Linked DNA regions of Danio rerio. The protein of the gene in region 1 purifies or fractionates together with the protein of each later gene. This does not show direct contact. Links are inferred from orthologs where the notes say so. Each region holds a gene or a part of one and is shown on either strand. Other genes may lie near its edges.

Region 1 (3,568 bases):
TTGATCAACATAAGTGTAAAACCATCTTAGCGACCCCCAAACTTTTTAATGCTACACATATGGTGTACACATACGTGTTATCAGATCACAAACCTTCTTAACATCTTGTTTCTCAGCTGGTAGTTTCCTCTTAACTGCCGGAGCAGATGATTCTGTTTTCGCAGCCTTTGCTTTGGGGGTATGACCATTTTCTAAACAGTTAGAACAATTAAAGAACAATTAAAGAACATTAATGGTACTCTTATGATGCTGAAGTTGCTACAGACCAAACAAAATCTGTTCCTTATAAGCTCTTGTTGCTCACTGGGTTTGTTAGCTGTGGATGCTCCGCGAGATGCAGATGGAGAGCTTCCTCCGCTCTCACCTCCTGAGGAGCTCTTGTCATTTTGGTTCGCTTTGGATGGACCAGCGGTCACCTCAAAATCACAATTCTCCTTTGAGATGCGATATAGCTCCTGAAAAGAAAAGAAAAAAAAAGAAAAAGTCTAAGAGTTCTTACATTTCAATGTTTCCTAAATACAAAACACTCAAATGAATAGAGGAAGAACAAGTCACTTTAAACAAAGCACACAATATTATACAGGATAATAGTATTCAGTTTATTTACTAGGTTTATTGCGTTAAATAAGTTAGTTCAAGCAATTCATTGGACAACAGTGGTTTGCTCTGTAATAATTAATCTAACAAAAGGAATAAATAATTTCTTAAGGGGCTCTTAATATTATTATTATTATTCCATTTAAAGCAAGACTTTCTTCAGTATTAGCAAAATCTAATAGGACATACTTCAAATAATATATTAAAAAACATCTCAAAAATGTTAAATATAAAAAATAAACAATAAATAAAAGATCGATGAAAATAAATCACATCCAAAAGAAGAGTTTTGACAATTTAAGTGTACTTAAGGTGTATAAAGAAGTTGTTACCCCACCCCGTTTAGAGCGTCATTATGGACGTTTTAAATTATAAGTAGGGCCAGACAGAATCTGCAGACATTTTTTGCCATTTCTGCTGAATTTTGTAAAAAAAACATCTGCAGATTTATGCTAAGCTGTATTTATTGCCGGATTTTAGAAAGTTTATCAGCAAAATGCCTGTCAACCCCAGTGATGACAAGGTAAGCTACTGTATTTGGCTCATTATTATTATAGCCATACCTGTGCCCTTAGGCCTAATATGGAACTTATGTTGAAGAAAATAAATAAATGGCACGTGGAAAGTTTCACTTTTACATGTCTTTTGATTCTCAACTCATTTGTTTATTACATAAATAAAGGTTAATCTTTTTCATAATCGTTAGAAGACAAAATTGAATCGAAACTGAATTCGGATTAATTGCACAGCCCGACAATTTAAACAATTTTTTTTTTTTGCAACATTAACATTTGCATGAATTTAATTGCATTATCTTTTCATTTCTAAAGATGCTCTGAGAGTAAAATATTACTTTAATATATATATCTGTTTAATAAATCTGTTTTGTTCAAATGCATCAATATATTACCCATATTCACTGAGAAATGGCTAAAATTTTCATTCTCAAAATGGGGTGTACTCAAATATGCTAAGCACTGCATATACAATAAAAAATACAATTTTAAATAATTTTAATAAAAATTCCATATCTATACATTTGTCTAAGGAAATATAATTTGATAATTAAAAGTACCTTGAGCTGCTGAAGGTTAGTTGCCGTCTTCCAGTCCTTGTCATCACGCATTCGGGTGCATCGTGGGAATCGGATGGATATGCCATCAGCAGTGTGCATTTCAGATTTAGAAAACTCTGCTCCTGTGATTTCCCACACTGGTGCTTTCTGTAGGTATCGAACCACAAGATATATTCATCCTAACAATAGCAAACACCACTCATAACACTTAAGAGTTGTATGGCCTATTTAACACATTCATCTGGCTTAAAAAGATAACAAGCCAATAAAGATCCTTCATTGCCGTCTTTCGATCTCACACTCAACTGTAACCAGGCTTTTAACACAGTCTCATCAAACTCACTTCACATTACAAGCACATAAACATTACGCATCCCTTTGGTCTTATTAGGAGGAGGATTTTCTCAGTCTTACTTGTGGATCTCGGATAATGAAATCTGGGTAATAGTTCTTGACAATCTTCAACCATCCTGGGATCTTGCTTGGATCCTGCGACGATGACGAGATAAACAGGAAACTTACAACATGCAACTTTTACACATCTCAAAAGAGGAAAACGACTGATTAAATGATGAGATTTACCTTGCCAATTTTAATCACGTCCAAATCTTTCTGCAGTCTGTCTAACATGGCGTCGTCGAAGCCTCCTGAACACTTGGTAACGGTGCACCACTTCCTGGATTCCGGGTCATAGCAGCCCATGAGGAAACTGGACATAATTCCACCTGAAAAAGAAACATAATAATGCCCAGCCCATCAAAAAATAAATAGATAAATACAAATCTGGACTGAAAATGGACTTGATGGCTGATGCTGACCATTTGAGCCTTTGCCATAGAAGGCTCCAAGCACCACAAGATCAGCAGTGTCCGCCATCGCTCCTTCATTCAGATAGTCTTTCTTCACCTTCAGCCAGTGGCGTTTTCCTGGTTCATAAAGGCCCTAAAACAAAAGAAAGCCCAGATGTAGCATGAACTATTCAACAAGCACAAACATACAGCACTTTTGTTTCTGAAAGCAATTCACAATACATAGATTATTTTGACCAGCCACTGGACTGGCTTATCACCTCATTAACTGTTTTTACAGTAGATTTACTGTGTGAAGTATGCACTTTTTCTATGACATTTTAGTACTTTCAAAATGTGCAATACACAACAGACTACTGTTGACTACTGCTCACAAAATGCAATGTGCTCAACTTAACATCAATTTTTCAGTATGACAAAATATTATGTTTTTCAAATGTAGTTTATGCATGTAAATTGAGACAGTCCTCGCTGCAGCCCACAACTTGATGACGTCCTGGACAATCGTCTACACCAGAGGTGGCCAACCCTGTTCCTGGAGAGTCACCTTCCTGCAGATTTCAGTTGCTACCCATATCAAACACACCTGAACCAATTAATTAGGACCTGAACACCACAGGATAATTACAGGCAGGTGTGTTTGATATGGGTTGCAACTGAAATCTGCAGGAACGTGGCTCTCCAGGAACAGGGTTGGCCACCCCTGGTCTACACCTCCCCCAATACCAACTGTCACAGTAGTGTGGGTGTTACCTTAGTGGGTGTTACAATGGCCACTACGTATTGGACCTGGGGTCCGTTGTTCGTACATGAATTACTCACTTATGGATTTGGTTACTGACGATGACACAATCCAGGATCGTTTCGTTCTTAAAAACTCATCTGAGAGTTGTTGTCAGAGCAACAGTTCTGGTAGCTCAAACCTGCTCAGGAGCAGGCTTATTTTATATAAACAGGATTAGATTGGGTAATTTTAAGCAAAGGTAATACTGAAAGTATGTACCGAATGCTGATATTTTCTTACAGTAGTGGTAATATACACAAAACGGGGTCATGGGGTGGTTCTCCTCAAGGGGTTCAAAAAGAA
Region 2 (4,001 bases), on another chromosome or scaffold:
GTATTATTTATTAAAACAATATAAAATGGATTCACTAACTGTCTAGGGATGTTGTTGTGTAATTTGCTACAATAAAATATCATTTTTTAATAAAAATAAAATAAAAAGTGGTCGGCTATTTTTTTTATCAATTTATTATTTATTAGGAACATAATAACTTGTGGTGAACTAAACGATGGTGCAGTGGGTAGCATGTTCGCCTCACAGCAAGAAGGTTGCTGGTTCAGTCTCGCCTGAATCAGTTGGCATTTCTGTGGAGTTTGCTTGTTCTCCCCCTGTTCGTGTGGGGTATCTTGACAGTCCAAAGACATGTGGTACAGGTGACCTGGATATGCTAAATCTGATCATAGTGTATGTGTGTGAATGAGTGTGTATGGATGTTTCCCAGAGATGGGTAGTAACCATGGGTAGTACCGCTGAGTAAAACATATGCTGGATAAGTTGGCGGTTCATTCCGCTGTGGCGACCCCTGATTATGAAAGAGAATAAGCCGAAAAGAAAATGAATGAGTGAATAATTACTTGCCTTAAAATAAAAACAAAATCCAAATAAATCAACAGTAGGAGCGTTTAAACTGTCTGCATTAAGTAACACTATTCTATACTCTATAAAATTAAACTCCATAAAGTGATGTTATATTATTTTTAAAGTGTAGTTACAGGAAATCTGTCCACAAACTCCACTAAATCTGACGTGTATACATCTACATCTGCTAGATACCTCATACTACATTCCTATATATTATTAAGACACTGTCACTTTATAATACTCATCATATGTACAAGCCTTTTATACTATATACTTTGCATTATAGTGTACTTTTTCCTCTTTATACTGTTTTGCATCTGCACAACTCTGGTTTGCTCTCCTTGCCTTGTGCCCTTAAGTGTAATTGTATCGTGTACAATTTTAATTTTTACTTATATTTTTAGATTATATTATATGTGTAATTGTATTTATTTTAATATCTTTTTTAAAATTCTACTTTTTGAATTAACATCATCTTTTTTGTATTAACATTATCTGTTAGGCACCTAGGTAAGATTAGTTCACGTCATCTTTCAGCCAGTAGTTGGCAGCAAGCGCGCATGACGTGCTGTTTGTTGACACCAACGAACAAGAGCGAGCGAGCGAGCGTCATGTGTTGCACTTTTATGTTTACGACTACCACACTTTTTTCTACCGTAGCTTTATTACACTAACACAGTAAGTAACGAACATAAGTGGGTTTTAGAAAAGCACCGTAGACTATATGTATACGCAATAGCATTATAACGTGTAATATGGTGTGTGTTTTCAGGAGATGCCTGTGTGTTTACTAGTAAGTGAAGATAATTCACACAAACCCATTGAGCTCCATCACCAACAGTCTGTGACTCTGGGTCGAGGACCAGACACTAAGATAAAAGACAAGAAGTGCTCTAGAGAACAAGGTATTTTTGCATATAAAAAGCAAATAAAAAAACGGCCTCTTTATTTTAGAAATACAACGTCTTTTCTTTTTTGCAGTTGAATTGAGAGCTGATTGCAACAGGGGATTTGTCACTGTTAAACAGGTCTGCTGGAGAATTATAATATCAAAGCAAATATTAATACAATATATACTGAGCTGAAATATATGTCAAATAATGCAAATTAGTTTTCAATACCACAAAAAAAAGTTTATTTCTTGGTGTAAAGTTGGTTTTATATTTTGACTTTCTCCTTTAATAATAAATTAAAATACTTGTTACTCACCAAAATGGATTTGAACCAGATATTTTATTATAACAGCCTTTTAGAAGTTAATTTATAAAACGTAATAACGTTTGAACCTGTTTATTTGATGTTTTTAATAGCTGGGTGTGAATCCGACACTTGTGGATGATGTGGTTGTGGGCAAAGGCAATCAGGTACAGTGTTTTTAAAATATTCTGAAAAAGTATTTAATATACGGACTAGGGCTGCACGATTCTGGCAAAAATGTGAATCACAATTTTTAAAATTTTTTTTTGCTTAAAATCAAGATCACGATTTTCTCACGATTCTGTAAATGTAAAATAAAGGTTAATAAGTTTAGCCTATTATTAAACATATGGTAAAACAACAACAACAATTATAGACCCATGTGTAGCTCTACTGTTGCTTAAAATGCAAAATTTTGTATAGTCATTATCCTAGACTTGAGCAGACTTCCAATATGTCCTGTTTGTTAATTCACAGTAACAGCATGACTTTATATTCTATACTGTACATTATTTCTGTTAAGTGACAAGACTGTTGTCTAAGCAAAGTCAGACCTTACTGTCCTAATGAAATCATTAAAAATCAAGGCATGATCATATTTTATTTTGGTAAAATAATCATAATTTAGAGTCATTTGCCTTTCATACAAACCAATTGTGATACTAAATGATCAACTATAAGTCAAATTATTACTTAACTTGGATACAAGACAAGATTTTTTTGAGGTAGTGTGTGTGTGTGTGTGTGTGTGTGTGTGTGTGTGTGTGTGTATATATATATATATATATATATATATATATATATATATATGTATGTGTGTGTGTGTGTGTGTGTGTGTATAGATATATTTATATGTATTTATGTATGTATATCTATGTATGTATGTACATATATATATATATATTTATATATATATATATATATATATATATAAATATAATGGTATAATATATGTAATTTTAATACAAGTTTTATTAAGTTAACACAAGGCAAAGTAAAAATGAAAATTGTACATTATTATTATAAACATCAGACACATAAACAGTAGTATTTGCTTCGATAAAATATTCTATGAACACATTTACAACATCTAAAATGCCAAGTATTTTTTATTTTTTTTTTAATATCTGATAAGATGCAATTATTATTTTATTCAGCTTCTAGCAAACCAGCTGTGTCGATAATTGTCCGGTTGTCTTGTAATTGAGGCTGTATTGCACAGGTCTCTGGTCTGCTTAACATCACACAAACCAAATGTCGCCCACCTCTGCAAGCAGGTGAGCATAAAGCCGGGTCAGAGACTCTACATGGTCAATCAGCAGTATCCTTACAGTGTGAAGTTCACGGAGGACACGTCCAGATCCAAACCCTCCAAAAGAGCCCAGCAGATCCAGAGCCCTACAAAAACAACAGCAGATGTGTCAGACAGCCCACCTCCACCCAAAAAAACAACACCACCTGCTGGTGAAAAATCGGTGAGTTTCTTTTAGATGTATAGGTTGGGAAGTTTCAGTATTTATGCAATAGGAGTATACAGTGCTCGGCATAAATGAGTTTGCAAAATGAATATTTTTATCAATTTCTCAGTGAATATATGTCATATTTTGGTGCATTTGACCAAAACAGATTTATTAAACAGATATATGTATTGAAATAATATTTTAGTCACTGAACATCTGTAGTAATAGAAAGATAAAACATGCAAAAACAATTACAAACTACAAAAATTTCAACAAAATTGTATATATTTATTTGTTTATTTTGTATATAATATTATTTTAGATTTATTTTTTCAATGTGTATGTAATATTTTCCCCTAGTATATACATTTGTTTTTTTTTTGGAGTGTTATCATAAGTTATTTTGTTAGATAAGCTCCAGATTTCGGTACTGAATAATCTATAATATAATATTGTAAAGCTTCCTAGAGAAAATATGAATTCAAAAGAGAGATCTGTGAGATATTTTACTCATATATGCTCTATTATAATGGTTGCACTTAAAGTTTTCATTAAGTAATGTATTTACCAACATGATCTAATAATGAACAATAATTGTGCATCATTTATTAATCACAGATTTACTAGATTATTATTAAAATGCAAATTCATTCTTGTTAGGATTAGTTAATGTACTGAGTGAACTATGAAAAACTGTATTTCTATCAACTAAAATGTAACAAAGATCAATAATACTGTTATAAATGTGCTGTTTGTTATTAAATACATGAATGAATATGACCTTATTTCAAAGTAAGTCTCTTAAAATAAAGTGCA

The links.
Region 2: the proteins of lig3 (region 1) and aptx purify together in Homo sapiens (affinity purification with mass spectrometry; 3 studies listed by BioGRID and IntAct, with this or other methods). This does not show direct contact. The link is inferred for Danio rerio from reciprocal best matches to the Homo sapiens genes LIG3 and APTX.

What each region holds. Positions count from the first base shown.
Region 1 is NC_133180.1:66,752,222-66,755,789, reverse strand, and holds part of lig3 (DNA ligase 3), read right to left. Parts: intron 2,615-3,568; coding exon 2,491-2,614; intron 2,398-2,490; coding exon 2,255-2,397; intron 2,162-2,254; coding exon 2,087-2,161; intron 1,820-2,086; coding exon 1,673-1,819; intron 456-1,672; coding exon 305-455; intron 192-304; coding exon 94-191; intron 1-93. UniProt on the Homo sapiens protein: Isoform 3 functions as a heterodimer with DNA-repair protein XRCC1 in the nucleus and can correct defective DNA strand-break repair and sister chromatid exchange following treatment with ionizing radiation and alkylating agents.
Region 2 is NC_133176.1:55,999,079-56,003,079, reverse strand, and holds the start of aptx (aprataxin), read left to right. Parts: upstream 1-1,139; 5' UTR 1,140-1,206; intron 1,207-1,276; exon of another isoform or gene 1,277-1,300; 5' UTR 1,301-1,303; coding exon 1,304-1,433; intron 1,434-1,509; coding exon 1,510-1,556; intron 1,557-1,838; coding exon 1,839-1,892; intron 1,893-2,694; exon of another isoform or gene 2,695-2,947; coding exon of another isoform or gene 2,948-3,002; coding exon 3,003-3,200; intron 3,201-4,001. UniProt on the Homo sapiens protein: DNA-binding protein involved in single-strand DNA break repair, double-strand DNA break repair and base excision repair.